Notamacropus eugenii: one gene and its partners. The main gene of each other region encodes a partner of the protein of the gene in region 3 in a complex. Links are inferred from orthologs where the notes say so. Each region holds a gene or a part of one and is shown on either strand. Other genes may lie near its edges.

What was found.
Region 1: SNRNP200 (region 3) and EFTUD2 share a complex: the UniProt entries of both Homo sapiens proteins name them as parts of the minor spliceosome. The link is inferred for Notamacropus eugenii from reciprocal best matches to the Homo sapiens genes SNRNP200 and EFTUD2.
Region 2: SNRNP200 (region 3) and LSM7 share a complex: the UniProt entries of both Homo sapiens proteins name them as parts of the U4/U6-U5 tri-snRNP complex. The link is inferred for Notamacropus eugenii from reciprocal best matches to the Homo sapiens genes SNRNP200 and LSM7.
Region 4: SNRNP200 (region 3) and PLRG1 share a complex: the UniProt entries of both Homo sapiens proteins name them as parts of the minor spliceosome. The link is inferred for Notamacropus eugenii from reciprocal best matches to the Homo sapiens genes SNRNP200 and PLRG1.

The regions. Positions count from the first base shown.
Region 1 is NC_092873.1:349,016,355-349,023,894, forward strand, and holds the start of EFTUD2 (116 kDa U5 small nuclear ribonucleoprotein component), read left to right. Parts: upstream 1-4,520; 5' UTR 4,521-4,780; intron 4,781-6,786; 5' UTR 6,787-6,790; coding exon 6,791-6,895; intron 6,896-7,540. Other genes in the region: DNAAF19 (dynein axonemal assembly factor 19), read right to left, coding at 562-1,011, 2,233-2,377, 2,566-2,708. UniProt on the Homo sapiens protein: Required for pre-mRNA splicing as component of the spliceosome, including pre-catalytic, catalytic and post-catalytic spliceosomal complexes. Component of the U5 snRNP and the U4/U6-U5 tri-snRNP complex, a building block of the spliceosome.
Region 2 is NC_092875.1:63,775,929-63,783,769, forward strand, and holds the start of LSM7 (U6 snRNA-associated Sm-like protein LSm7), read left to right. Parts: upstream 1-4,830; 5' UTR 4,831-5,078; coding exon 5,079-5,084; intron 5,085-5,201; coding exon 5,202-5,292; intron 5,293-7,841. Other genes in the region: SPPL2B (signal peptide peptidase-like 2B), read right to left, coding at 4,605-4,652. UniProt on the Homo sapiens protein: Plays a role in pre-mRNA splicing as component of the U4/U6-U5 tri-snRNP complex that is involved in spliceosome assembly, and as component of the precatalytic spliceosome (spliceosome B complex).
Region 3 is NC_092872.1:606,974,467-606,981,629, reverse strand, and holds the start of SNRNP200 (U5 small nuclear ribonucleoprotein 200 kDa helicase), read left to right. Parts: upstream 1-4,146; 5' UTR 4,147-5,184; coding exon 5,185-5,229; intron 5,230-5,855; coding exon 5,856-6,019; intron 6,020-7,163. UniProt on the Homo sapiens protein: Catalyzes the ATP-dependent unwinding of U4/U6 RNA duplices, an essential step in the assembly of a catalytically active spliceosome. Plays a role in pre-mRNA splicing as a core component of precatalytic, catalytic and postcatalytic spliceosomal complexes.
Region 4 is NC_092877.1:153,068,655-153,076,114, forward strand, and holds the start of PLRG1 (pleiotropic regulator 1), read right to left. Parts: upstream 3,020-7,460; 5' UTR 2,862-3,019; coding exon 2,853-2,861; intron 1-2,852. UniProt on the Homo sapiens protein: Involved in pre-mRNA splicing as component of the spliceosome. Component of the PRP19-CDC5L complex that forms an integral part of the spliceosome and is required for activating pre-mRNA splicing.

The DNA of each region.
Region 1 (7,540 bases), on a different chromosome or scaffold from region 3:
TCTGACAATTGTGAACCACCCTTCAAAACCTGGGTAGCTTGACAAATCATTTGCTGGTAATTCTCCATACACTAACTCAGAAAAACTCAATTCTAGGGAAAAAATGGTGTTCCCCCACCCCAAGAAGGTGTCAAAGTCTGTCAATAAACTATCTTTATTGGCCTGGGGTAGATCCTTGTAGATATTAATGGACATAACTAATCACAGATTTTAAAATTCTGCTTGCATGGGTTGATGATAAGCACTAGGGTAAAGGACCTTAATCTTAGGGACAGGAGGCCATTCTTAGCAGGTTTTAAGGATGAGAAGCCAAATGTGTCACAATTTCCCAGTGCTCTCATAAGAGCCTTTGGCTGTTTGAAGTCATATAGATTTAAAGAGACCCATTTAAGGTTAGGATGAGTGAAACCAAACTTTTGCTGCAGTTCTTGAGGGACAAGGTTAAAAGAAAATGTTTGGAGTTAGGCAACAAGATGGCCAACAACATTAAGGACTTTCTAGGAAAAACAAATCTCCAGGAGCTAGTCAGGTTTGCTGTTTGTCCTGAACAAGACAAGATCTCTAGCCAATTTGGTATAGCTCTGACAGCTCCTGGAGGAGTTTCTCATCCTCATCATTCCTACCGTGTGATTTCTCTAGCTCTTGCTCCTTACAGATCAGTTCTTCCTCTGTGGGTCTGGTAACATACATACTTTGGAGTTTCTGAAACAATTTTTGGCAGCTCTCTCTTTCAGCACTGCTCAGCAGGCTCAGGTTGAGGCCAAATCGGCCAGTTCTGGATAGGCTATGAAGGATCTCCAGTACAGCAGCACGGTCAGCTGGCTTAAAATTCTCTGCCAATGTCACCAGCAGTTCACCGAGGAGTCCAAAACCCACATCTACTCGGAAAAGGTGGCCCAAGTTGGGGGCCCCAAGCTGTAACAGGGTCTGATAGCGTTCTGGTCCATTCTGGAGGTAGCGGCGCCAAGCCCTATAGAAATCTGAAGATGTCTCAGGCTGACAATCTCCCTTCTAGGTCAAAGGGAAAAGTAAAAAGAGTTATGTCCTCAAGACACTAAGGAGTCAATACTTGCAAGCTCTATTCCTAGCTTTTCTACTGACTCAGTCTTCATCTCAGGAAAAACATGACCCTTTGTGGGCCTCAACTTCCTCATATAAAATAGGCTTTTTAAAACTTCCCATTGTCAGGCACAAGTGGGATCTTGGGGACTAGGGTGTTAAAATAACAACATGATTTAGCATCATATAATGGAAATTTACAAAATGTGGATACAGCATATTCTAAGATGGGAAGGGAGGTAGGCCACAGGTCTCAGAATCCTAGAGGTAGATCTGATTGGCTGAGAGCTGACAGATCCCATCTCCTCATCCAAACCATAGTGACTGTACATACAATGGGACTGCACTTCATACTTCATGTCCTTAGCAGAATGTTCTCTGGATCAGTGAGCCCATATCGTCCTTCTACTCCCTCAACAGAATTTGGTGCAGTTTCTGCTAGTTACAGCTCTATAAACAGTGGTTGAACTGGGAAAATATGATATAACATAGATAATGTTAATTTGTGGTTTCTCTAAGTCAATATCTAGCCCTGCAGGGATCTATTTCTATTTGAGTTCGGCACTTCCTCTCTATAGAGTACAGAGATCCTGGCCAAGGTCACAGAATCTAAGAGACTGCTCTGATTGGCTGAGATCTGACTAACCTGTCTCTTTATCCAAATTTTGAGATGGTTCTGTACCCTGTACTTGTCACAGCCTGGAGTCTGTGTACCCTAAACCTGAATGAATGGGATTTCTTGAGTGTAAGGGGAATGGAGCTTTTCCCCAAGGTGATGACGTGGTGGGGCTTGCATGCCTCCTCCCCAGAGATGTCCTTTCCTTGAAGTCCTCAGGATGCCTAGGGTACAAATGCCTCCTTGGAATTCTTGAAAGATGGGCCATCCCCTTTAAGTATGACAGCACGTACGAGTAGGACTTTGTACTACGTGTGCTTAGCAGACTGTCCTCTGGGACACTGACCCCCCCCTGCAGTCCCCAGACTCCCAGCACTTAGCTCAGTGCCCAGTACACAGTAGATGCTTAATAAATGTTTATGGAATGATTGGATTGGATTTAGTCTAAAGGCAGTTTCCGCTAGTTACAGCTCTGTAAAAGTTTTGTTAATTAAGAAAAAGAAGCATTACAAGTAAAGGTTAGGGTTCCCCAATGGACTATAGAATGGCTATTTCACCTGGGAGATATAAGTGCTCTCCTCCTGAGTGATGCCTGTCTGAGCAGTGGTACTTGTCACCTGACAGTTCCAAGGCACTGTCTTCTTGATATTCATCTTGTCCTTCCGCTCTAAAGGCTTCAGGTGTGAGGCAAGGACAATGTCCCTGTGGGCAAAGGAGACAGTATTTGAGGGAAGACTCCCCAGGCTGGGTGTGGAGGTATGGAGCTGCTGCCCTAATGGTTCCTGAACCCTGTAACTTCAGCTGCATAAACATGGTGCTATAACTATTTAAGCTAACTGGGCCATGGAATATAGTTAGGACAGCTCTGGGGTAAAGTTGTGTAAGCCAACCTGAACTCTTCATAGGAGGCCACCTTCTGTTCCACAGCCCGGAACTTGGCAGCATTCTCTCTTTGGTATTTCTCATCAGCAGCTAGTGCAGCCTGCAACTCCTTCTCCAGAGCCCTAAAGTCAATGGTATCAGTCTTTTCCATGTCTGGAACCTGGGAGTGAAAAAGAGGGTGAAGTCCAGCAATGAGACATTACCAGGGAAAGAAGCTACTGTATATCATGATAACTCTTTGCCATTCTAAAAAGATTAAAGCACTTTGTCCAAATTATCACTCATCTCAAAGAGAAAGTACAAAAGTTGTCTCCCCATTTTAAAAAAGAAAGGATCTAAGATATGTAGCAATGGTCCAAGATCCCACATAACACCATTGTTTCACTGGGAACAATGGACAACATTTATGTAATTCTTTAAGGTTTGTAATTACACCTACATATCCCACAACAATACTGTGAGGTAGATACTATTATCATCCCCATTTTATGGATGACAAAACTGAGACTCAGAGAAGCAAGTAACTTGTCCAGGGTCACACATGTAGCATATATCTGAAGCAGTATCAAACTCAGACTACCCTGATTCCAAGTCCAGTATTCCATCTACTGCCGAGGACTTCTAAGTTCATATTCCCATCTAGACTTGCTTCTTGACTAAAGACTAAATTGGCACATGTACTGTTAGTCTCTTTATTGAAAAGGTGGTTTAAAAAGCCATTTGAAATTGGGAGGCACCTTAGAATTCAGACTTTAGAGAACTTCCTAAGAACTCGCTTGGAGTGAATGAAGGACATATGGTCACGCAGTCACACAGCAGATGTGACTATAGCTCCTTTTGAGCCTAGGATAAATTTCAAGTCCTGTACATCCAAGACAGATGTAGTGTTGGGGAGGGAGTAGAACCACACAAAGGTTGCTGAATTTTCTAAGGGAGTGGATGACTCTTTCCAGCCTCTTCAATTGTAATAACTGAGCTAGAAGGAGACATAAGAGTATCTGAAAGAATTGGTTAGGATGAATGCTTCTTGACCTTGTGGTCTTGCTCTCTTCTGGAGTCGCTTGTATCACATGGTTCCAACTCAGTGGACACCTGTAGCAGCAGGGGTAGATGTGGACTAGTGAAAAACCAATGCCTAGAGACTCGTGTCTTGCACAAATTAGACATTTCATAAACATTCCCCGAATTGAACTATGACAGAAAAATGGATGAAGGGAAATTTTTTCTTCTACTTGATTTGGATACCTTTGCAGCCAGTCCCTTCTGCCCTTTCCTTCTCAGGTCTCAATGCAAACTGGCTCCCTGCACCTCTGGGAGGATGGAGCTACCCTGAAGGCTCAAAACTGTTGTGGCCATTTGCTCTCCACAAACCCTAACAGATTAAGATCTGTAAAACCCCTCCAAAACCCATGTGGTCCAAGCCCCTCTTTGGAAGGGTGCTTCAGAGCTTATCCTGTCCAAGTCTCCCACTGGAGGAGGACCCTGAGACCCAGAGAACACACAGACACACAGACACACAGACACACAGACACAGACACAGACACACACAGACACACACACACAGACACAGACACACACACACACACAGACACAGACACACACACACACACACACACACACACACACACACACACACACACACACACACACACACACACACACACACACACACACACACGCCCCCACCCTGTAAACAGACCACGCAGAGCCCAGGCATCCTGTGCCCGACCCAATTCCAACTGCCCTGAGAACTAGTAGAGCAGAAGGCGAACCTACCCTAGCTCCTGGTCAGCCGTCGCTACCCTCTAACCCCCTCAACTCAAGAAAAATCCTCATGGTTCTCCTGCCTAACAGGGGGCTCAGGCTACAGCCAAGCGGAAACAGTTGCCTAGCAACAGTCTCACTCAAGCAGCCCACGTGATCGGGCCTCTCCCCGTTCGAGCTGCCCTAGTGATGCCTGATAAAATGAAGGCCGCGCTTGCTCGCTAACGTCGCCTGGGCCGTCACGCTTTCCTGTCCGGCGCGTCGCAGGGTTCCCCCAAACCGCCCCTTCAGCCCGGAATGGCTCTATCCTACTCCGGCACCTCAGGCAGAGTAGCAGGCGGCGGAGGAAAGGGGCGTGGCCTCGACGTCGCGCGGGGTCCTTCCTAGCGAGCGTCGCAGGCGCCGGCCCATCTTCGGACGGAGAGAGCGCGGTATCGGCGTTGGGATTTAGAGCTGCAGGTGAGGAGTCGGCGGCCCCGAAGTCGGGGCGTGAACTCGATCGGATGGGGTCCGAGGCTGGCAGATGTGGAAGGGGTGGACCTTAAAAGAAAACCTCATCTTACAAAGGAGGGCACTGAGGCCTTGGGGCAGGCCCGGCCTCTGCTCGGGTCCCACCAGAAGGGGGGATGAGGGGGCCGGGCCTGGTCGTGGTGGGGAGGGCCGGCGTGTCACTGATGGGCCCGGTCGTGACCGTGGGCAAGTTTCCTAACTTCTGCGTGTCCCTTAGTGGAGTGGAAGCTCCTTGCGAGCAGGGACTTGTTCTTTGTGGTTTTTTCCTTCCTCCTTTTCTATCCCCAGCACATGGCCCTTAGGAGACACTGTGTTTGTTGAGTTCAATGAGCAATAATACACATTTTGTCAGGTGCTTTAAGGTTTATACACCGCTACCTTCCCCTGTACTCCCCCATCACTCAGAAGGCCCAGGTGCTTTATCCTTAGGTGACGGATGAGGTCCTGAGAAGCTAAGTGACGTCATCGCCATCCTCATCATAGCGGACGTTGATAAAGCACGTTAAGATTTGTAAATCACTTTACGTACGTTAGCGCGTTTGTTCTTCACCGCGGTCCTCCGAGGTAGACGCTGATATTATCTCCATTTTACAGATAAGGAGAATGAGGCTGACAGAGGCTGTGACTTACCCAGGGTCATCCACAGCTAGTAAATCTGGTGTGGATTTGAACTCAGATCTTCCCAACTGCACTGGGCCACCCAGCTTGTTTCACTAATAAGCGTCAGAGCAGCGAATCCAAGTCCTGTTAGAAGGGTGCTTGCTGCTGAGTAGGACCTTTAAGTTTCAATAGTTTTAAACTGTAGTAAAGCTTTTGGGATGCCCTCTACACAGTGCTGGGCCCTTAATACTAGAAGATATGTTTTATCATGCATATGTGCACCATATTTACATCCTGGCACACTTTGGAAGAAAACTTCTCAAGTCATCCTAGCTAAAAAAACAAAAACAAAAGAATAGGTCATGGTTTGGTTACCTTAACTAAAAAATAACAAAAATAGGTCATGGTTTGGCGATTTACTATATAAGATACCTTCTGGTAATGAATATTCAATTAATCTAATCCTTGAACTGCGCTTAGTACAAGAAAATTTTCTAGCCTGTCTAGGACCTGCCTGAGCTAATGTAGTTCCGCCAGGATTGACTTGTAACACCAGTGTCACCTTATCACATTGGGGCACTGGAGTAGAAGCTTAGTAAGGGAAACACAGGCATGTTTATGGCTTCGCTGGAAGTTGATTCAACAAATGTTTGTTTTAAATTTTTGTTATTGATATCTTTTTTTTTTTTACATTGCCTACACTTCCTTTGTTATTCACCTAACCATTCCTCCTGTCAAAGAAGAAAAAAAGTCGTTGAGTAAAATTAACCAACTAACCAACACTGACAGTATATACAATTCAAGAAGTATTTATTAAGTACTTTTCATGTGAAAGTCACTTTTCGTTTGCTGGAGAGATACAAAACATAAATGAATCCCTTCTGGTCCTCATGGAGTTTACATGTTTGAATCAAATGAGAACAAATCTTAAAGTATTTTGAAAGTGTAAAAATTCTAGAGAACCAGATTGTACACTTAAACTTCACAGGATTTATATCAAATGGGTTTATCTTAGAAAGCAGTAGATACTTGGTTGGTGTTTCTTGGAGTGGAAAGCTTGGAAGCATCTGTGGGAGAAATAGTACAAGTAGTACAAAAATATACAGGAAGTTTTATTAATTGATCTTTAAGGAACATATAGCATAGGATTTTATTTTGCTCTGCAGCTAGCATAACAGAACTCAGGAGGAGCAAAAAATAAACAGTTCTGGGTACTGTTCATTTTACACTGAAATGGAAGCTAGTTTAAAGGTAGTCAGTCATGGTCAGGAGAGGGAACATATATTCACCCTTCTCTTCTTTGCCTGCCCACAGATTACTTATATTTTTTTGTTTTCTTCCCCATGGATATTTAGCATCATGGACACAGACCTCTATGATGAGTTTGGGAATTATATTGGACCAGAGCTAGATTCTGATGAAGATGATGATGAATTGGGTAGAGAAGCCAAAGATCTTGATGAGGTAAGACTACTTTAAAATAAAGTTTTACCCACCCCCGCTCCCCCTTTTATTTGGAGGATATGAAATTTTGTGTCACTGAGAATAATAGCTGGCATTTACATATACCTTTAAGGTTAGCAAAGCACTTTATCAATATTATCTTATTTTATCCTCACAACGCCTCTGAGAGGTAGGTGCTATTGCCATCTCCATTTTACAGTTGCGGAAACTGAGGTAAGCAAGTCACATGATTTACCCAGAGTCACACAGCTTAGCGTGTGAGGTGCTAGTGTCTTAGTGTTTGAACTCAGGTCTTCCTGACTCCAGGAATAGTGTTTTATTCTCTGTGCCACTTAACTGCCAGAATAGAGAATGTGAAGTACTTTATTTTATTCTTTCCTCTAACCTTTTCAGGATTTTTGATGGAAATTTTTCAGGAGGTGTGATATTTTGAAATTTTATTTATCTTTTTCAGATTTGTTATTTATTTATTTTTAATGTTCCTTCTTTTTCAAATTTTGAGTTCCAAATTCTTTTTCTCCCTCCCATCCCCTCTCCTACCCACTGAGAAGGCAAGTAATATATCAGTTATATATATGAAATCATGCAAAAGATTTCCATACTAGCCATATTAAAAATAAGAGAGAGAAAAATTTTAAAGTGAGA
Region 2 (7,841 bases), on a different chromosome or scaffold from region 3:
CTCCTCAAATTTTCTTCACAATAAGCTAGAAGCCTTCCTTAGGTTCTCTTCATATTGTGTGGATACAAATGAAGAACACAGACTGTCCATTGTTATTTTACCAAATGCTTTATTTTGTATTCTAATTGACATCTTGTTTTTATATCACCTTCATTTTCAAATATATTCCTCCACTACCAACAGGGCCATCTCTTGTAACAAAAAGTAGAGGAAAAAAGACAGTTCAATAGAAACACACCACTGAATCTGATCTTATATTTAACATTCCATACCTATGGTCCTCAATCTCTGCAAAGATGGGGGAGCGAGAGATGGAATTTTTCACTTCTTTAGGACAAGCTTGGTCATTGTTAATACACAGCATTCAATGGTAGAATGCTTCCTTGTCACAAAAACAGCTGGGCAAAAAGAATCAACATAAAGACCATGTATGATAGCACTCTACAACAGTAGTCCACTACATCTCTACAGAAGTCCTCTAGTCAAGGCTGGTCATTATATTAATCTTGGTCCTCAGATTTAGTATTGCTTTCCTTTATATCAATTTTGTTACATATACTGTTTTTATTTTCGGCTTACTATGCTCTGCATCAATTGATACAGGTCTTTCTTAGAATCACAGGTCTTCCCAAGATTCTGAATTCTTTGTTATTACTTTTGTCACCTCTACAACAAAGTGTTATGAATACTTTACTAATATGTGTGACCTTTTTTCTTTCCCCTGGAGGAACCTCCTTTATAGGATAAATGCCCAACTGTGGGATGATTGTTGCCCAGAGGTCAACAAAGGGTTTGACTGTTTTTCACACAGTTCCAAATCTGTTTTCTTGATGAGAGGGACTAATTCGCAGATTCACCAGAGGTACTGTATTAATAATGTATTTGTTTTTCCATAACCCCTTCAGTTACTATTACCATTTTAAAAATGAAATTTGCCAATTTGGTGGGTGAAACCTTATAGCTGTTTTAATTTGCATTTTTTTTTCATATTAAGGATTGAGAGCCACTGTAGGTAGTGGATAAAGAGCTGGGTCTCAGAATTACAAACACCCTTAAGTCCTCCCTTTGTCACACACAGCAGGCAATGAAAGCTTGGCCAAGTCAGTTAGCTTCTTGGTCCTCTAGGTCACTCTCTAAGACTCTTTAAGTCAAACAGAAGTTGTTTGCTTACTTGCATGGCACAGGGTTTCATCCGGGATGTCTCTGGTCCAACCCCCAATTTAGTAATTTAGAGTAGTGCTTCTTTAATTGTGAAAAAATTGGCAACCGTAAAAGATTTCTGAACACATAAGAATCAAAAATAAATTAAAAGATCAAAAATGTAATGACTCCAAGGTGTTTCTGGCTTTGCTTGCCCATGGGTGCATGGTACAACTTCATTGCAGCCTTGGTTCTGAACACGACATACGAACTTTGTACTTCACATGCCTTCAAGCCCACGAAGAGCCAAGAACATTTCGAAAAGTGGTCTGCAGCGGAAAAAGTTTAAGAAGCCCTGATTTAGAGTACCTTATAGTACTTGCATTTCTTTTAAAAAACTGTTTATACCTTTTTACCACTTTATTAGGGAATGGTTTTTGATCACATATATCTTAAAGGTCAGACTTTTATCAGAGATAGTATAAAGATTTTCCCCCAATTGAGTGTCTACAAATAGCTTCATTTTTTACACTGATTTTGCTTGTGCAAAGTTTTTTTAATTTTATGACTCAAAGTGACTATTTTTATCTTTCAAGATCGCCACTATTTCTTGGTTATGTGTTAAGAGTCTTTTCTAACTACAGATTTGAAAGGTATCTCCCCTTTCATTCTCCTCTTTTTAGGTTTTTTTTTCTTAAACAATTTGGAGCTTATTGTGGCATGTAGTATAAGAGGTTGATCTAAATTTAATTTCTGCTGAATTGCTTTCCAATGTTCCCAGCAGGTCTTGTTAAATGTGAGCTCTTTCCTAAAGTGGTTTGTATTTTGGTTAACTGGGCTGTGTTCAACTGCTTCTTGGTCTTAGTTTAATTAAACTATCTAACTAAACTACCAAATGGCTTGTAAGTCTATTGCACTTTACAACGTGGTCTGAGATCTGATTTTCAGTGATGATGTCCTTCACACCACTTCTCTTGCATAACTTGTGATGAATTACACAGTCTCCATCGCTCCTTGCACGATTTCTGACCTCAGTTCTTCAGAGGCTACACACTACTGCATGACTAGCAACATTTTTCATCACTGCAAGAATACTGACATTAAAAACAAAATAGGCCTTCATCCTGGGGGGAGATTGTTAAAAAAAATAACAAAATAAAACAACCTGCACAATCACCCAAAGGCAATGCTGCCTGCTCTATTCCTCCAGTTCAGTTCTTAGCCAGACTCATCTATCTGCAACATCTTATCTCAGATCTGTGTACTCCTTAGAGGTATGCTGGATCCAGATCAAACCTATGCATGAGTTGACGGTTACATTTTCAATATAAGCATTTTTACAGCTCACAAATCAGAAGAGGTTATAAAATCATAATTTGATTTCTTTGTTGATTGTCTAGATTTAAGAAAGTAATGAAAATACTGATAACTAATATTAAACTCAAGTGTGTGTCATGGGTACATTTTTTCTGGAGAGCCAGTTGTTAAACATTTATCAGTACAGCACTATTCATATAGATAAATGAGCTCTAAAGATTGCCCATCCAACTGCAAGTCTATCAGTCTGAAAGATGATCAGAATCATTACTCAGAGACATTTAGTAGCTTTCCCATGGTAGATAATTCAACTAGTAAACCATCAGTCAGGATTGAAACCATGTCTACCAACTCAAAGTCTAGTATTCTCTGCACTAAACCACACTGTCTCAGTAAAAGAAAAAAAGATTTAATGGAATATTGTAGATAAACACAAAATACACATGAGGCTAAAGGTGCAACTTTGCCAAGGTCTTCTGACTTTGGAAAAGTGTGATGTGAGATGATTTACCCATAACCTTTTAGTGAATTTTAGAGAAGAGTATTTCTCACCCTGGTAAAGCAAATCACCAGTACAAAGGCACTCAGTGACCACCACAGTTCCAGAGGGAATTCAAGTCTAGATTACTAGCAGAATCTGGAAGTTGAAACAATAGTTCAGTGAGCAGTGATTCCCAGCCACGGTTTTGTGAAACCATGTCATTCAGGTGTCACCAAAATGTCCACAGGATTATCGATTCATAGGCCATTTAGTTCAATGCCCTCACACTGACAGTTTAAAAAAAGAAAACAACAACAAAAAAAACTGAGGCCAAGAGAAGTGAAATGACTTGCCCAAGGTTCAAACCCCACTATAAATTACATCCTGTTTCTACTGCATATGGTAAATTCTTTCCTCCAAACAAGAGTGAATTTTAACTCACTTTAATTTAGAAGAATGAACCACAAAGGACAGTCAATAACTGGGTGCCAGGCAATCACTGTATAAATCCCCAAAGGACTTATGAGTGGGAAGAGAACATGTCGTTTAACCCCTTAATTTTGCCAGGGGAAAAAAATGGAAGTTTTCCATTCCATAACCATAAAAAGTTAACCTTTCTATAAAACAGGTATATTTGTATGATATCCCTCACAGAGCAAATTAGATAACAAAGTACTTTATAAACTGCATAAATCATAAAACCTTTAAGTATAAATAAGCGTATTATTAACATGTGGGTATTACTGATTCAGGGAGCTTCAGCCTAGCAGGGCTCTGGGGTGGGATTATGAGCTTTTGGAAAGAGGTCTAAACGTAGGGACAACATTACTGGACTTGGAGGACAGGAGACTTACCTTCACATGCTGGCCCTGACGTACTGTGTGCCTTTAAGGGAGTCATTTACGTGAGTCAGTGTCTCGCTTCAGATCGCTCTGGGATGCAGCAGGGACTTATTTAATAGATGCTTACTGACGGTGCCTGACCCTAAGTCTGCTTTTCACTTGTAAAAGGGGAAGGACAGAAGTGTGACCCCTGACCAGGATACTACAGTGTGCAAGGTGTAAAGTTCAAATACCACACGATAAACACGGCGCAGTGAGGAGGATAACACAGCACTTCAACGGAGAGGCCCAAAGTGCTGAGAGGTCCAGGGGTGAATTTGGGAGGGACGAGTTTGTTAGTTTTATGTAAAATTAATTTGGGTTTAGCTGAGGGACACAGAGTGTCCCACAAGTCTTACTGGGCTAAGTGTGCTTCACGTTTATAAGAAGCGATGAGTTTAAAAAGATGGGTAGGGACTCAAGGAACGACCAAGAGGGAGGAAGGAGCAAGGCATGCTGGGAAGCGGACCTGTTGGCCGGCGCTGACTCAGTTTCCTCATCTGTGAGAAAAAAGTGAGTAAAAGACACCAGCCGGAAAGAGGGGCTCGGAGGACCCGCCGCTCCTAAAGCTTATGGGAGGTCTGGGGCTCAAGTTCCTCCAGGGTAAGACGAGGCGGCCTCGCGGGGCAAAGGAGGATGGGGTTCGCCGGCCTAACCTGGGGGAGTTAGAGACGTGGGGCATACCGGGCCGCGGTGCAGCGAGGCCGGGCTAGGGCCTACTAGGCGGCCCGGGCCGCTGAGGGGAGCCGGAGGAAGAAGGAGCCAGGCCTCCCCCTCCCCCTCACCTGCGCTATGAGGAGAAGTCCCGGCAGCAGCCGCACCAGTACCGCCATGTTCGCCCGAGATCCCCAGGGCCCCACGGCTCCGGCCTCCCTTCCCCGCAGCCTCAGCTGCCGGACGTTACCCAGCAAGCCCTGGGCCCCGCTTCTTAGCCCCCTCGTGCCTCAGCGCCGCTCCGCGGCCGCGTGCGCCTGCGCACGCGCGTCACACTTCCGCAGGGCCCGGGTGCAGGGTGAAAGGCCGGGGCGCGACTCACGAGGCGGATTGTGACGAAAGCAAGATGGCGGCGAGCCGACGACGCTGCCGCGGCCGCCGCCACAGCGCTGCCAGGCGTTACCCAGCAACCTCCGGGCTCCGCCTCCAACCCTAGGCTCCTGCCCCATCTGCGCAAGCGCGTCCCTGACGTTAACGCCGAAGCTTGCGCCAAGAGGTGAAAGGGCGCAGGCGCCGGACGCAAAGGGGACCCTGACGGCTGCAACATGGCGGTGAGCCGAGGGGGGGATACGCTGCAGCCGCTGCCGCCGCTGGGGCGGGAGGGGGACGGACTGACGGACCCGGCGCTCGGAGGCCCGGGCCCCTGATCCGCTGTGCTTTCTCTGCAGGACAAGGAGAAGAAGAAGAAGGAGAGCATCTTGGACCTCTCCAAGTACATCGACAAGACCATCCGCGTGAAGTTCCAGGGAGGCCGAGAGGGTAAGAAGGACCCCGCCCCCCCGTCGTTCCCGTCACATGGTCTGACCCAGGGTCTCCGTCCTCCCCTCACACCCCCCCCCCCCCGCCTGCCTCGGCAGGTGGTACATTCCGGTGGGACCTCCCTGGCTTCTGGAGCGCTCTCCATTCATTTCTCTCCGGGGCTCTGGTAGGTCCGCGCCTTCTGGGTCCCTGCCCCCAGGGAGCGTGCTCATCGTCTGGGCGGGCCAAGAGCCTGGAAGGCAGAGTCAATCCAGGGCACAGGTGCCAACTGTGTACCGGGTAGAGAGGCCGCCCTCGGCCTAGGAGTCAGGAAGGCCTGCTAGACACTTGCAGACAGGTCACTACCTTTCGGTGCTCGTCAGCTTTCTGAGACTAGGAGTTGTTGATCTGCATTCTGGAAGTCAGTCGGACAACGAGCACTTATTAAGCACCTACGGTATGCTGTGCGCTAGGTCGTGCGGTAGGTAGGTAGAGCAGTGGACCCCGAAGTCTGGAAGATGGGACTCCGAGCGCAGATACTTAGCAGCAGGGCCACTGAGCAAATCCGCCTTTTCTGCTGTAAAACGGAGATTCAGGGAGATACTTGTGCTGTACAGATACTGTCATCGGTAAGTCAGGCCCTGAGCTGACAAAAGCAAAGAAGCCTCTGCTCTCAGGTGTCTCACCGTCCAGTGGGGGAGATAATGTGAAAAGAACCGGGCAGACAGACTTTGTCCAGGATACACTGGAGATTTTCAGTAGAGGGAAGGCATTAACATAAGGGGAGATCAGGAAAGGCCTCCTGGAAAATGAGATTTTTGCTGACATTCCGTCCTGGTGTTGGTGAGATCACAGATCCACACTCTATCTGGGAGAGTGCCAGCTCAGTGACCCAGAGAGAATCCTAATTTCCAGCCTTGATACAGACTGGCTTTTTGACCATGCAGGAGTAAATCACTTAACTTCTGTACCCCAGGTCACTTTCCAAGTTGGGTGACTAGTAGTTTGGTGAAGCCTACAGATTCCTCAGAATAATATTTTATTTTATTTTTTTATTAAATTATTTTGTTTTCAGTGTTCTACAATCACTTCCATATAGCTTAGATTTTTTTTCCCCTTCCTCTGGCTCTTTCCCTCTTCCTTCCTGCTCCTTCCCCCCTCCCTCCCCACTTCTCCCTGAGACAGCAGACACTCTTATATAGGTTCTACACATACATTCCTATTAAATACATTTTCACCTTAGTCATGTTGCATAGGAGAATTAAAATGAATGGGAGAAACCATAAAACAAAACATAATACAAAAGAAAATGGTCTGCTTCAATCAGAATCATATTTTTAAATGCACAAAATTAAACAACATGGGATTATAAAGGGAACCAATTCCATTGAAACAAATTATCAAAGAATTTCTTTTTTTAAAGTTCACAGACCATAGGTGAAGAACCTCTTCTGTAAGTTATTATAGGTGAGTTGTTGTCAGTTAATAGCAAGGGAGGCAGTTTCCATGTGGAAAAGAATGTGCAAAGTCAGTGTTGTGCCCCAGGAATAGAAATATAAAAAAATAGCATGATACTCAACAAACATTGATGAGGCACCTGCTGTGTGCGTGCGTGCGTGCTTGTGTGTGTGTACACCTTTGCACAAATTTACACAGACTCTCTCTTTATGGAGCTCCCCCCCACATAGAGGGAAGAGACATAAGTGTAAGTCATGACAGTCATGGAGCATACCTTGACTACCTGCTGCTCGACCTGCAATATTTAGATAAGACACATAATCATAATAGGTAATTGTCATTCAATAAACATTAACAAACAATTAATAATAAATAATTTAATTTAAAAAATAAATAATAATAAACAATAAACACACAGTAGGTATGTTTAGTAGTCTCTGTAGTTCTGTAGCAGTGGCAGGGCAGGGTTTGCAGTTTGTAATGCAAGCATAAATAATGTCCAATATCTTGTAATAGATAGTCCTTCAATAAACCTTGATTTAAGGGTGTCCTGTAATCTTCCCTGATACTCCAGCACTATGTGTGGATCCCTGTCTTTCGGGGTGCTGGGGTAGATAATGTGTCTGAGTTAAGATTGGGTCCTTTTCCCCTAAGGAATACTCAGTAGGATCCTAGATAGAGACCTCCTGGAAAGAACCTAGGAGGTCATCTCTCTTCATTTCACTGATGAAGAGATCAGAGACCCAGAGAGAGTCTATGACTCAAAGTTACTCAGGTTGTTAGTAGCAAAATTGGAGCTGGACTCTGGTCTTCTGGCTCCAGACCCCACGTCCCTCCCACCACACCAAGGCTTGAAAATATAAACAGTAAAACAAATCCCTAAGTCTATGAGCAAGATAAAAGAGGGTGTTGGCTTCATGGATGTGAAGCTGGCCTCGGAACTGGGATGACCTAGGCTCAATACCAGCCTCTGTGACCAGGGCAAATCGTTTAACTTCTCAGTGCCCCTAACCTGCATCAGGAGTTCCCTAGAACAATGAAATTACAAGTCAGGTATAAAACAAAGCATGTCCTGTTAGACTGTGTTTTGGAATGCGTGTTTTTGAGAGTTT
Region 3 (7,163 bases):
TGTGTGTGTGTGTTTCCCCCTAAATGTTTAATTTGATTTGTAAGTCATTTTAGTTATGATAAATTTGTTTGGCCAGCAAACTCAAGCTATGTGCTGTAGTTATTGAATAAATTACAAAAGAAAGGGAGAGTTCCATTTCTTAAAGATGGGAAATACTTTTTTTGTTAAGTGAAATTGGGGGAGGATGGGGGGAAAGAAAGGGAAGGGAACAGAGAGAGAGAGGGAGAGAGAGAGAGAGGGAGAGGGAGGGAGGGAGAGACACAGAGAAAGAGAGATAGAGAGACAGAGAGAGAGACAGAGTGCACACCATATTGGAGTTCCACAGACTAATAAAGGTACCAGAAATAAAAAACTCAGAAAGTCCATGGATTGGAAAAGAATAGCTGTTTTTAGTCTGAGAGGCTTTGAGTGGCTAGTTCCCTTCTTACATCTCAATATCCCCTTCCCCACCCCCAGTTAAAGCCAAAATTTCTAGTTCCAGGGAAGAAAGGTGAGGATATCCAACTCATATCCTCAGGTGGAGTTGTATTTGTGTCAACTCTACCTGACTGTTAGCTCCTGGGTAGGAGGATACCTATCTTCACTCACAAGCTCCACCTTGTGGTGAGATATATTCTCTCTCAAATCTTTAACTTCCTCCTAGTTACTGGCTCTTAACTTAATGAACTCAAACATGCCCAAGTCTCCCTCCATCCTAAAAACCTTCATGGAACACTACTATTTTCTCAAGATACTACCTTCTATCTCTCATCCCTTTCTTGGTCCAGGTCCAGATCCTCTGTATAAAATGCTGCTTCTACTTCTCTCACCCTAAGCGCTCCACATTACCTGTTTCATCTGTCTTCATGGCCATTGGAACAAATTGCTCTCATCCACACATTCCACCAAAGGAAGTCTTCACATGCTTGGGGTAGACACCCCCCTAACTCACCAATGGGTTTGAGAACCCTTGGTTACCCTCAACCTGGTTTGGCTTGTCTGCCAAAATGGTTTACCAGGGTGTGGCCACTGCATGCTGCAACTTAGAGCCACAGGTGAGAGTTGAGTGGAACAGGTTGACACCAAAGGTGGAAAGAGCCCTGGAAAGGGCTCGGCAGCCATCACACCAAAGGCACTGTTCCTGTAGTGTACTTTACAGGGATATTCACATTGACAATGAGGTTGATGTACTCATTGCCAGAGCTAGCTCAGTATTTGGGAGGCTCCAAAGAAAAGTCTGGGAGAGAAGAGGTATTTGACTACCAAACTGAAGGTCTACAGAGCCGCTGTGCTGACCTCATTGTTGTATGCCTATGAAACATGGAGAGTCTACCAGTGCCATGCCAGGAAACTGAATCACTTCCATTTGAACTGTCTTAGGAAGATTCTGAGGATCACCTGACAGGATAAGGTACCAGACACTGAAGTCCTTGCTTGAGCTGAATTGTCAAGCATTCAAACTATGCTTCAGAGAGCGCAATTCCAATGGGCTGGCCACATTGTTCAAATGCAAAATGTATGCTTGCCAAAAAGACTATTTTATGGAGAACTCACATGGGGCAGGTGATCGCATGGTGTTCAGAAGTGATACAAGGACACTCTCAAGTCTCTCTCAAGAACTTTGAATTTGACTGTGCAACATGGGAGACACTAGCACAGGACCACTCAGCATGGTGTGCCTACATCATAAAGGGTGCTGTGCTCCATGAACAAAGCAGAATTGAGACAGCACAAAATAAACATAGAATGAGCAAATTGGAGCATCCACCCTAAATATTCACATGGACTATCTGTGCCCAACCTGTGGTAGAGCATTCCAAGTTCGCATTTTCTTACAATAACTTAGAGGTGTTCCATTATTAGTCTCTTAGATAAAGATTTAATATTGTTTTTATATCTTCTATTAATCACCTACCATGATTATAGAAATTTGTCATAAAAGGAAAAAGAGGGACATAGCCATAGTAAAGGGGAAAATTCTCCCCTAGCTTGATGTAAATTCCAGGCTAGAGTCATATAGGCCGCCAACTGCATTAATAGAATGTCACAGCCAGGCTCAGAATTAGCCTGGTGGGAAATTTTTCAATTCAAGAGGAAATGTCATACATTCAGGAGAGTCCTACCTTAACTCACATCAAAAGTCACTCTCCTGACTTTTCCCTGAGATAGAACTCCACCAGTGGTAAGTCCCAGATGTCACTCCCATAGGGTAGCTGAAATTATGAATCATTGGCTCAATGACATTTTCTGATTATTATACCTGGAATCAGATTCAGACTACCAATTACAGTCCCATAAGATTCAACTTTAATAGAAAATTTCATTAATCATTGCTTCGGGCTGCATTCAGTTATAATCACTCTCATGTTACTGAGAATAAATATTGTAGACTGACCTCTTAATAAAGACTCTAAGACTACAGACTGTTAAAACTAGGTCAATTCAAGATGTAATTTCAATATATACCACTCCAGGTATAATTTCATAATCACAAATCATCTCACAAACTTTGTAAAAGGATGTTAGTAATACATGAGATCTCATTTTCTCAACAACCATATTCCAGAGTTTCATAGCCTTGTTTGTCTTTCAGTTTTTCAAAGAGGACTGATAGCAACAAAGGCAGAGTTGCATAAAGTCATTAACCACACTCTCTTCCAGAGTCATAGAAGTCCAGTGGTAAGACATAAGTCAAGAAGACTGGGAGTGCCTGGGATGGAGTGGATGGCCTTGGAGTCTTTGATGCCTAAGCTCTAAGCACTCCACAATGCCTACTTCAGCTGTCTTCATGGCCATTGGAACAAGTTATTTTCACTTGCCTGTTTCCGTGGGAGAAGTCTTCACATGTTAGACATCCCTCTAATGCACCAATGGATTTGAGACCTGTCAACCTAGTTTAGGCCATGTGCGGAAACAATTTTACTAATATGTGGCTACTGTGCATACTACAGCTTCTTGAAGACACAGACAGGTGAAGGTGGACACTCAAGATGGATAAACAGCCCTGAAAAGGGCTCAGTAAGTCCTTAAATCAGTAGTGCTACTCCCTCCTGAACAACCCATACACCTGGATTGACTAGAAAACAAAAGCCATTTTAATCAGGCTCTCCCTATTTGTTTTCCCCTTTGATGAAAGAAAAAAGCAAGGATAAGAAATCTGTCCCACTTAGAAGAGGTCCAGTCTAAGCTGGCTAATGAGTAGATAACTTAGGGGCCGGGAATGATCATATTACTTGATCATAGCCCTTTAGGAACTGCTTGGTGAGCTTAAACTGAAACAACTGGGGTCTGACCAAATAGGAAATGGGATGGATTTCAGATTAATATGATACAGAATGATATTAATTTTCCTCAATAGTGACACATGTTTTTTAAGGTGATGTGATCATAGACTGAGAGCTGAAAGGGCTCTTAGAGGCTACTTAATCCAGATTTAAATCCTACAACCCCAAGTCTAGGTTTATTCCTTGTTGGCATTCTATAGGCTATGAAACATATCAGCCCTGGAGCTTCCAGTGTGACTCACCAAGGTCTCTCCTATGCTCTGCATTGATCTACTGAAAGTCTTTTGGAAGCTCACACCACCTCTGGAATATTTTTCCCATTGGAATACCCTCCTACCCTTGCAAGTCTACCTCCCTATTTGGCTGTTTCCTCCCAGATCTTCCATTTTAAAGAGGAGGCCCAGGCCCATCAATCTTTATTCCTCTCCAGGATGTGTTCCTGTTCATTTGCACAGGACTTTCTCTACAAAAGCAACACTTCACTCCTCTTTCCCTTCCCCCTTGTCTTTCTCCATTAGACTATAAACTCCTTGAGGAAGGAGCTTTCTGTCTGTTTATATTTGTACTTCAGGGGCTTGGTGTGGTGCCTGAACACTTAATAAATAACTGAGGGAGCAATGTCCAGGATCCCCCGGGAGAGAGCCATAGCATCTCCATGAGGTGTAGTACAGGTCAGAAAGCTAGCTTGCTTCCTCCCTTCCTTCCACGGCCCAAACTCCACGTGAAGGCTCCTGGGTGATCATCCACAGTAACTGTAGCTCTTTCCCTCCCAGCTGGATTCACTTATTTTTTTCTTTTGCTCATTAAAGGGGACATCCCTGCTTACTTCCTAAAGAGGCCTACTCACTCCTCGGGCCTTCCCTCCCCCTAAGTGAGCACCTGCAGAGACCTAGGCCTAAAGGGCCCCAGGCCTCCCAGTGCATCCTGGGCCGTGGCCAGTCATCCTGGATCCAGACGGCCCAGGGGGGAAGCGAGGCTGGTGAGCTGCACAGCCCTCCCGCCCTCAAATCAAAGTCCAGCGCAAGTCACGTCATCATTTCTCCCGTCATGGTCCTCTGAAAACGAAGGACGAACGCAGATAGAGGACAGTGGAGGCAGGCACAGATACAAAAAGGGCGTCTCCCAGCAAAATCGCTCCAGCGTCATCACCTCCCTGACACGTGACACGCCGCGGGCACTCAGGCCTTTGTGGGCTAACGGGGGGCACACATAGCTTACGAGAATAACAGCCAATAGTTACACAGCTATCCACTTTAGAGAGAAGACTGTCGCAGAGAAGCGGTCACTTGCCCTGGGTCCCGCAGTCATTGTTTTAAGAAATCTAATTTTAATTTTGAGAACATTAAGAACCCGAATTTTAAGAATATTAAGAATTCGAACTGAAGTCTTCCTGATTCCCTATCTAACCATTATGTTGTCCCAGTCATGGCAAAATTGACGATATCGGTCTTGTATAAGGAACGACCCGTTTTATTGATACTTTTATATTTGCCTCTAAGGAGGAAGAAGAGAGAGCAACACTTCACATAGTTCAAACTACTCGGACCTGTCCGCGATTGCTGTTGCACATGCGTACTAGCACGCTGTCGGTCCCGGCGCAAACGAGGCGACCGCGCAGGACGTAACTACCGACAGTAACGTCACGCCGGACGCGCGACTCTCGCGTTGAATAAAAGGAAGCCGGCTTTCTGAGACTTGGGGATTTGTGCACATGCGCATTTCCTTTCCCTCCCCTCAATTGAGGAGGTCGAGTAACCTGGAACCGGAAGTGAGGCGTTTTCAGCTCTTTCCTTCCTTCCTTCCATCGTTGCTTCTATCTAACGTTTCTGTGGTGTGTGCGTAGTACTGGAAGAGTAGATAGAAGGAAAGAAGGGCTTTGAGGAGATAGATTCGACCCCGGGGCACTTGAGCAGGCGCAGCCATGGCGGATGTGACTGCCCGGAGCCTGCAGTATGAGTACAAGGCCGTGAGTGTCGGGCCCGACTCGGCGCGGGGCCGGGGGAGGGGGCGGGAGGAGGGAGGAGTAGAAAGTGGACAGAGGGGTTTAGAGGCGACCACATTCCAAGGAGTCGTGAAGGGCAGCCGCTGAAACAGAGTCCGAGCGCGGAGACCACTAGAGCCCCCCGGGAATCCTGAAGAATGCGCCCGAGAGACCGGGCTGGGAATACGTTGTCTCCCGCCGTCAGGCACCCCTGGTTCATAGACTCCGAGTTGTGTACTTGCTGTGGGTGCTGTTTTCAGGAGGCATCCCCGGGAGTGGGGCATCCTCTTATTACAAGAGTTTGGGCCGCATCTACGTGTATTGTTAGGAAGTGCCCGCTCCTAAGCGCACAACTACGCACTTCATTCTCTCTTTAAGAGATGTTTTACTTATTTTAACATTCATTTTAAAAACTATTTTTGAGTAACAAATTCACTTCCTCCCTATCCTCCCCTCGAAAGGGAAGCATTGCAGTACTCATGTGTACGCGTGAAACCAGGCCCTATTGTCAAGAATTATCATCTAAGTAAGGGGAAACATTTGCAGGAATTGAGTTGCCTGCATTCAGTCCTGCTGTCGTTGTAGCTCTGTTCATATTGTGATTATTCCAGAACTCCAACCTTGTCCTCCAAGCTGACCGTTCTCTGATTGACCGAACACGGCGTGATGAGCCGACAGGGGAGGTCCTTTCACTGGTGGGGAAACTGGAGGGCACTCGAATGGGTGATAAGGCACAAAGGACCAAACCCCAGATGCAGGAGGAGAGAAGAGCCAAGTGAGTATATGGAGAATTCTCTCCTCTTCCTTGAAAATGAAAGTATTGAAGTCCATCCGACATCTGGTTTTCACCTATGTTCTGTTGAAATGCTTGAAGCTTGAGCATAGAACTACTTGACTGGAAATCCCTTTAGGATTTTAGAGATCCTTCTAAACTTAAGGTCACATATGGATACTTTCATAAATGTTGTTTTACGAATGAATGCTGGTACTAAAAGATGTATTAGAGATGTCTACCCTCCTTCATTACACAGAATCAGTTGATAAGCTTTTATTGCCTATTGTAGGACAGGCACTGTTCTGCAGGTGCTGTACCTCTAGCTACTGAAGACCCATAAAAGAAAGTTATTGCCACCAAAGTTCTTGTCAAATGACTTAACAGCTGAAACTGTTATAATTTTATTGGTAGAAATAACATTAAAGAGGAAGCATTAGTTAGGTGCTTTGCTCCTGTACCCAAAAGACCGTGGAACCTTTCTATTTGACTTGAAGCTGAAACTTTTTATGTTTTGTTTCTCTTATCAAAATGAGTTCTTTAAGAGCAAGGACTACCTTTTCTATTTGTATCCCCAGGACTTTATGTAGTACTTCGCACATAGTAAAGCCCTTAATAAATACTACTTAAAATTTACTTACTCATTCACTGGGGACTTAAATTTTAAAAAATAAACTCTACTTAAGTATATATATGAGTATATACAGAATAAATATAAAACTAATAAATAGGAAATAGTTAAATAAAAAGTAGCCTGGGAGGGAAGACAGTGATTAGGAGCTCAGGAAAGGCTTCATGTAGAAAGTGGGACTTGAGCTACATCTTGAAGAAAGAGAAAAATTTTGTGAGGTCAGGAAGGGGTGCATTCTAGGGAGGGGAACAGCAGGTACCAAGGTAGAGACATGCAATGTCTCTTGTGTGAGGAACAGAGAAAAGATGAGTTTGACAGGCTCTCAGAATTCAGAAGAGGGAGTAAAGCCTAGTGAGGTTAAAAAGATAGGTTTAGGCCACTTTGTGAAAGGCTTTAAAAGCTAAACAGAAGTCTTTATGTTTGAAGCTAGAGGCAGTGGGTAACTACTGGAGATGGTTGAGTAGGTGAGTTACATGGTCAGATTTGTGCTGAAGGAAAATCACCTTTCCAGCAGTT
Region 4 (7,460 bases), on a different chromosome or scaffold from region 3:
GTGTTATAATGTTGCTTCAGTTATACAGCTTCATATAGTCTGATTAAAGTCTTATCAATTGAACATATAAAGTGTAATATTTATTTCTCTACCAAAATCCAAACTGGAGATAGGCTAAGGAAATGAGAAAAATGCATCAATAGGGTGAAAAAGGATTTTCTAAGCTGCCTGTAATAAGCAGGAATTAGCATCAGAGAGGAAGCTAAGTGTTAGAATGGAAAGTCAGTAATTCCTGAATTCCAATCCTACCTCAAATTCTTTAATACCTGGGTGAGGTTGGGGGTTTCCTCAGTTTCCTCACTGCTAAAATGAGTATAAACACATGCATCTGCCTTACAGGGTTATTGTGATAATGTAAAAAGTTTTGCAAACATTAAAGAGCCATCTATGTAAATGCTAAGTTTTATTTGAGGCACTAATATTCTAAAAGCAAAAAGCAACAATGGAAAACTACACTGAACAAAGTTAACCTGCTTATTGTGTTCGTCCTTCGTTGCCGAACAAGACAATGCCATCAGAGAAATGATAACATGACTGTCACTTGACTTTGTTTTGAGTGAGGGAGGGCTGGGCGGGTCACCAGCCTCACTTCTCCTCCAGAGCCATCTGAATCCAGGGACCAGGTATTCATCAGGATGACTGGAGATGACTCAGGATGCACTGGGAGACCTTGGCCCCTTTAGGTCAAGGTCTATGCAGGTACCCACTTAGGGTGAGGCAACGCCCATTCATTGAACAGGCCATTTAAGAAGACAAGGCATGGCCCCCTTAACGAGGTCAAGAAAAACAAAGACATCAGGCTGGGTGGGAACCAGTAACAGTTACTATCGATAATCACTGTAAAGCTAGGAGGGTCAAGAGGAGCCCTTAGGCAGGGGCCCATTGCACTCCCAATTTGTGTAGGTTTAGGGTTTTGGGAGAGGATAGGTCAGCACAGAACAGGAGAAAGGGAAGGGAATGGAAGGCAAAGGAAAGGAAGGAAAGGGACCAGTAAAACCCAAGACCACCGGGCATCTTTTGGCCATCCAAATTTACAGTCCTTTGGAAAGAAGAAAGGGGAGGGGGAGGCAGAGAGGAGAGGAGGAGCTGAGTTACCCATTCAGCCAGCTGCATCTACTCACAGGACTGTGTTTGTCTTTTGTGGCCGAAGAAGACCATGCCACCAGAGAAATGATGACATGACTGACTTTGTTTTGAGTGAGGGAGGGCTGTGTAGGTCACCAGCCTGGCTTCTCCAGAGCCATCTGGTCACTGGATTAGCCTGCTTATACAAATGGACCCAAGTCCTAATCCATGTCATATTCACCAGTGTTCTGCTAAGAGTAGCCTCTGAACAGTGTTCTGAATTGTTCACATCACTGTTTCCTTTCCATACCACTGATGTAGCCTTTAGGTTAAAGCAATTTCCTTCACATGGGGTTAATGCAGGCGTTTAACGTCCTTTAAACTGAACTGGTATAGCTCTGCTTACAATCTCTGAAGCTAATTAGTTTTCTTAGAATTTACATCTGATTGCAAATTAGCTTCACAAATACTGTAAAACGTCTAAATTTTGTCTCAGTCTAACTTTAGGGGAAATAGCAAATTCCTTGAAAATTTATTGTTCCTTTACGAAAATACAGTCTTGGCAGTTAATAACAAATAGCATCCCAACTGTCAGGTGTATTTACAAAAATACAGACTTTGTAGTCAATGACAAGTGTCAAAGACAAAATGAGAAGGCAATCATTTTAAACTGCAAAGCTCATGCGGAAGTAACGACTGATAATGGAACAACTCCAAGAAATGGCAGAAAAGTGTTACTGATAGAACCGAACCCCAAATTTCTAACAAGTAACTTGCAACTGTGAATTTTCCTCTTGCATTTAAATACTGTAAACCATATTACATTTACTGCGCTGTTACAGATTATCATTTATCACATGCAGTGAGGAAAGGTTTTACCTGATGAAACTGTAGACAGAGATTTAATCTTTAAAAATTCAATTTTAACGGGGCTTACAATAACAAATTCTAAATATCACAGAGTGTGGAGAGCTCCGTGAGATGCGGCTCGTAAGTTTAAAGCGTATGAACACGATGAAGTGTACGATGAAAGTTTCACCCGACACCACACGGTGCCAGAACCGACCCCACTTGGCAGATGTGACGTAAGCCATCACACTCTCCAGGCCACTTCACGAGGTTCCGTTCCAAGCCCGCCCGGCCCCACACCCGCACATTCACTAGCAGCTGCTTAAGGCGCAGCCCAAAAAACGGGGTATCGAGAAGGAACGGTGATCTGGCGGGGGGCTCTGCACTGCGGTCCCAACCACGGCCCTGCTCCATAGGGGTTCTCCTGGCTCCAGCCCCCTTCCCAGCCGCCTCCCCAATGCCCCTCTCATGCCCACGCAGCAGGCGCCAGGAAGGCCCCCACAGGACGGGGCGGGGGAGGTCTGCACTGCTTCACGCTGAAGGCATAACGCAGCGATGCCATGGCATTTCGGTGGCACCACCACGGCGGACGCCACTCACCATGCCCACCGGCAGGCGGGCCAAGGGGCAGAGCGGGAGGAGGAAGGGGGGGGGGGTTGGAGGCGGGAGGCCGGGAAGGCGCTGCTGGGGTCGCTGCCCGGCCGAGAAGCAGCCCCGCGGGCTCGGGCCCGGAGCTCGGGGGTCTCGCGGGGCCGCGCACGCCCACTCCTCCACTCGCGCGGGGGGCGGGGCCGGGGCCGGGTCGCGGCCTCCTCTCGCTTTCATCAAACCGCCGCTCCCGCAGAGCCCGAGCCAGCCCCGGCGGCGGACAAACGGCCGGCCGCAGCCTCGCGCGCCCAGAGGCCGGCGGCTCGCCCTCACGCGCACCCGTCACTCACCTCCACCATGACGCCGACCACGTCGCCCGCCCCGCGAACGGAGAAAGGAGAAACCGAAATCCAGACAGAGCTCCCGCCGCCACCGCGACGCGGCTGCTTCCGGAGTCCGGAGGCGCCGGCGCCGGATGTGACGCAAGGGGGCGCATGCCCATTGGATGGTAGCTGTTGCGCCTGCGCGGGCTCGAAAAGGACGATGGGGTTTAGCTTCCAGAACTGTCTCCGTCCCACCGTTGGAGGAAGCCGCAACCTTGGTGGTGGCTGTACCGGATGAGCTCTGCTTTTTCCGTAGAGCCAATAGCGTGTCCTGGATAGACCGCTTGGCTTGCGGGCGGGAAATCCTAGCCCCGAATTCTGTTTCTCTCCGAGCCTCAGTTTCCTAATCTGTAAAATGAGGGGTTGGCTCCCTTTCACCTCCACGTGTCTGATCCTCAGGACTTACTGCCCTGTGGGCATGGGCAGGGCACTTAGCCTGGTTTCCCCACTTGTGTGATGGCTGTCATGTTCCTTCATAGCTAGACCTTCATCTTAGCCTGAGACAAGGAAGGGAGGAGATGGCGTTTGTCTCAGTCTGGCCCTTTGTGCAGGGCAGATGAACTGTGTCGTGGGGTAGCCCCGGAGCCGCAGGCGGGGACCCCCGGGCCTGGAGCCACAGGTGGAGGACCCCCGGCCTGGAGCCGCAGGCGGGGGACCCCCGGGCCTGGAGCTGCAGGAGGGGGATACCTGGTTCCCCCCAGTGCCGCAGGGGAAGAGACCTTTTTCTCCTTCTGTGCCTGAGTTTCTTTTTTTTTCCTTAAAATTTGGGGATTGGACTAAATGATTTCTAACAGGATTGCAAATCCCTAGGCTTGAGAAAGTTAGGACCCTGTGTTATATGAGAAATTAAAGGGGAGATAGGACAAGGCAGCCGGATCCAGGCCCCAGCTCTTCTCCTTATTTCCTGATGTTGACCTGAAAACTTGGTTATAGTAAAGGCAACAGGCTAAATGCAAGCATTTTATGATTTAATTTATTCATTGATCAATTCCCTATTAAAGACAATGGTAACACAATGCATTATGGAGCCAGAAATGTTCTGACTACCGAATTAAGCAGCCTTACATCTGCTTTAGGACAAAGAAGTGTTCTGCTTTCTTCAGATTTATGGTCTCCATAAGTGATTCACTAGACCATTAGAAAGGAATTTCTTAATTGCATAGGTTGTAAATACAATAAGATAACAGAGTTTGACAAAGTTTCAGGTAGAAATTACGACCCAAGATGTCTGTGTTTTCTTTACTGTTAACATGCCATAACATAGTATATGTCTACAAATACTAAGATATGGAAACCATCCCGTTATTCAAGATAGTGTCTTAGGTTAAAGGTCTCTTAAGGAATGTTAAGTCAGCCCTGGCTGGCTTTTGTTGACATAAGAAGAGACATTCTCTGAGTTTGCTTCAGAGAGAACAAAGAGATTATTACAAAATTTTATATTAAACATTATCACTAAGTGACCACTGACATAGTTTCATTTCTCTGGACCCCAGTTTCTGACAAAAACGGGGTTCAACAGTGGTTGATGGATTTAGATGAGGAAAGGGCCTCAGAGCTCATATATGATCACTAAAAAGTTTGAGGATAGGAGAGGTACTGACTGCCAGATGGAGATGTAGATCTGTAAATCTTATGACCCAGCAAGTTAGCAAGAACCCTATGAGAGACAGCCAAAAGTGAAATTTCCACAGTTACTAGTTGATGAAGTCATGGAGAATAAATCAGATAATAAGAAAGCCAGCAGAGTGCAGGTGGACTCAACCAGTCAGGACATGCAAAAAGGTGGTCTTTAAAAAGTCATAAATTTTTTGATAAGCAGGTCCAGGCCTGAAACTGGCCAGAACCAGTCAAGGAAAATGACCTAGAATAAGCTGGAGAAAACTTTTCTTCACTGTGCTTGCTTAATGAATCTCATGTATTGTTGAGGGCCAGGATGGAGTGCAGTTGACTAGTTCAGGATGGGCCTTGGGGAAACTGTTCTTTGAGACTGGAATGGCTCTCCATGCCAGCCAGATATTGATGTCTCTGTGAGACAAGAGAACTACAGAATACAAGGGATATATAAAATAGATGCCTTCTAGACTAACGGTCTTTAAAGACAATAAGACTGGCCAAATCACTAGGACTGGAGATGAGCACATAGACATGCAGTTTCTCTCTATATATCTGACCCTCAGATCAATAAACGGAGTTGCCCTGTCTACTCCCACCTGCCCATGTGTCTTTCTTCTTCACCACTGTCACCAAGCCACGTGGGGACCGCAGGCCCTTGGCCACAATGTATCTAAGCAGACGCACCTGGCATAGAATTATCCCTCCATTTTCTGGTCATGGGTCTTACGTTAAAACATGTTTGGGAGTGGTGATCACACAAAGGGTGGTTACATAATGGGCATGTAGAGAAGGTGGTGACCTAATGGAAAACGGACCAATCCAGCTCCTGGTGTGAGAATCTGTCTTGAACTAACAGTATATAGCTCATCTCGCTTCTGTATTCAGTATTCTTTCTTCCTAAGGTGGGAAGGGGGGGAGGGGGGGAGGTTGGCCCTAATTTGGCCAAAGGTGTTCAATTCCTCTGAATTCTGCTATAATACATTTTCCTTGATACCTGTTAGTGTTTCCAAAAACCCCATCCCCACTTCCATCTCCCAGCCACTTTTCCATAGACCCCTTTCCTTTCCATTTACCTATAGGATGCCTGCTTTGCCTCCGGCATGGAGTTTTTGCGAGTTTCTCAGAATCCATGCCAGTGGAGCACAAGCACTGACAGATACCAGACTAATAAAGCTTCTACTGCAGATCAGAGGTGAACTACGTTTGTCAACTTAGAACCAACCTGGTCACGTTGAGAGAAATTGATCATATGTTTGTCCACTGGATGATGCTTTTTTGTTCGGTTGTTTTCTGCTTTTTTTAATAGTTTGCAAACTACATTGATAGTAGGAATATGCAGATAAAATCATAGATCTTTGAAATATTGAGATTTGATTTAGCAGAGGCATTTGGTTGAATAACTATCTTGTAGTCATATGTTCCCTTGATTCATTCCCTTTCCCCCCTTTGTTTCTATCTCATTTGCACACCTGTATGCTGCTCTCTCCTAAGGCCTTCTGTCTTTTCCTGCCTTCTTAGCTATCTTGATGGAAAGGCAATAAGTAGGAACAAGACATCATGGAGAATCTATAAGTGGCATAATGACCATCTGCTTCTTCTGTGTCTGCAAATACTCCATTCACTGAGGTGCATTTCTTTTGTTTTAATAATTTTTCAGATACAGGGTGGAACTTTTTTAGTATTGTTTTTGTGTATCCTTCTAGGGAATTTTAGATCCTCATAGCTCCTTTTTCTGTTTATAAACCGTAAGAGAAAGGAGGGAAAGAGAAAGGAAGGAGGAAAATCGATAAGAGTGACCCAATGCAGGCAGCAAGAAGTGGGGTAGAGATGGAAATGGAAAATCAGCAAGAAAACCTGTGCCCCTTGAATAAACAGAAACCAAAGACATTTTGACCTTATCATTCTGAGGGACTGCCACATTCTTCAAGATTCAGCTATGCTCCAACACACTCATAGATCCCTCTGTGGCTCAATAATCATTCATTAAGCCTTTCCTACATGCCAGGAATTGTGCCATGTCCTGGGAGTAAAAAATGGCAATTTCTGCCTTCAAGAAGTCTCCATTCTGATGGAGACAACGTGCATAGAACTTTATACACAGTACTGATTGACAGTGTAGGGAAGGTAGTCTCTAAGGGGAAGTACTTACGTTGGAGGGTGGAGGCTAGAAAAGACCTCTGGTAGAAGATGGAGTTTGAGCTACTATCTTCATCTCCTTAGGGATCCAGGACTTTACCTTCTTGGTGCTCAGTATGGATCTGCCCTCATCCAACTATTGTTCCTTGATGTCCAATTCTGCCTCACCCACCTACCCACTTTTTTTTCAACATAGAAGGAAACTCATGGCCAAAGTCACACATTTAGTGGGTATCAAACTGGGCCTATGACACAAATTTTTTGGCTTGAAACATTTCATAAACTCACTTCCTAATACCTTTCCAGTCTTCTTATATCCTGCTCCCCTCCATACAATGTATAGTCCAGTGCACTGGCTTCCTTGTTGTTTGTTCCTTTACCAAAACATTCCATCTCTAAACGCCAGGTATTTTCACTGACTCTCCCCCATGCCTGGAATTCTCCAATCCAGGTTGTGATACTAGTTAGAAATTTGCTAGCTGTGTGATTGTGTGCAAGTGCCCACCCATCTGAGGCTCAGCTTCATCATCAGTAAACAAGAATATTAATGCTTGCACCACTGAACTCACAGGATTGTGAGGAAAACAGCCTAAAGTACTGTATCAGTGCAGGGAACATTTAACTAGAAGCAACATGGAACAGCAGAAAGAATATGAAATTAAGGCAGATGCTCTGAGTTCAAATCCTGTACTTGTATCTAACCCTGGCTTAGACAAGATGATCTCTGAGGTGACTTTCACTTCTAAATCTACGATCCTGTAATCCTGTGGATAAAAATATAAACATGATCTTAATATACATTAGTTAATATAGTAGCTGTCCCTT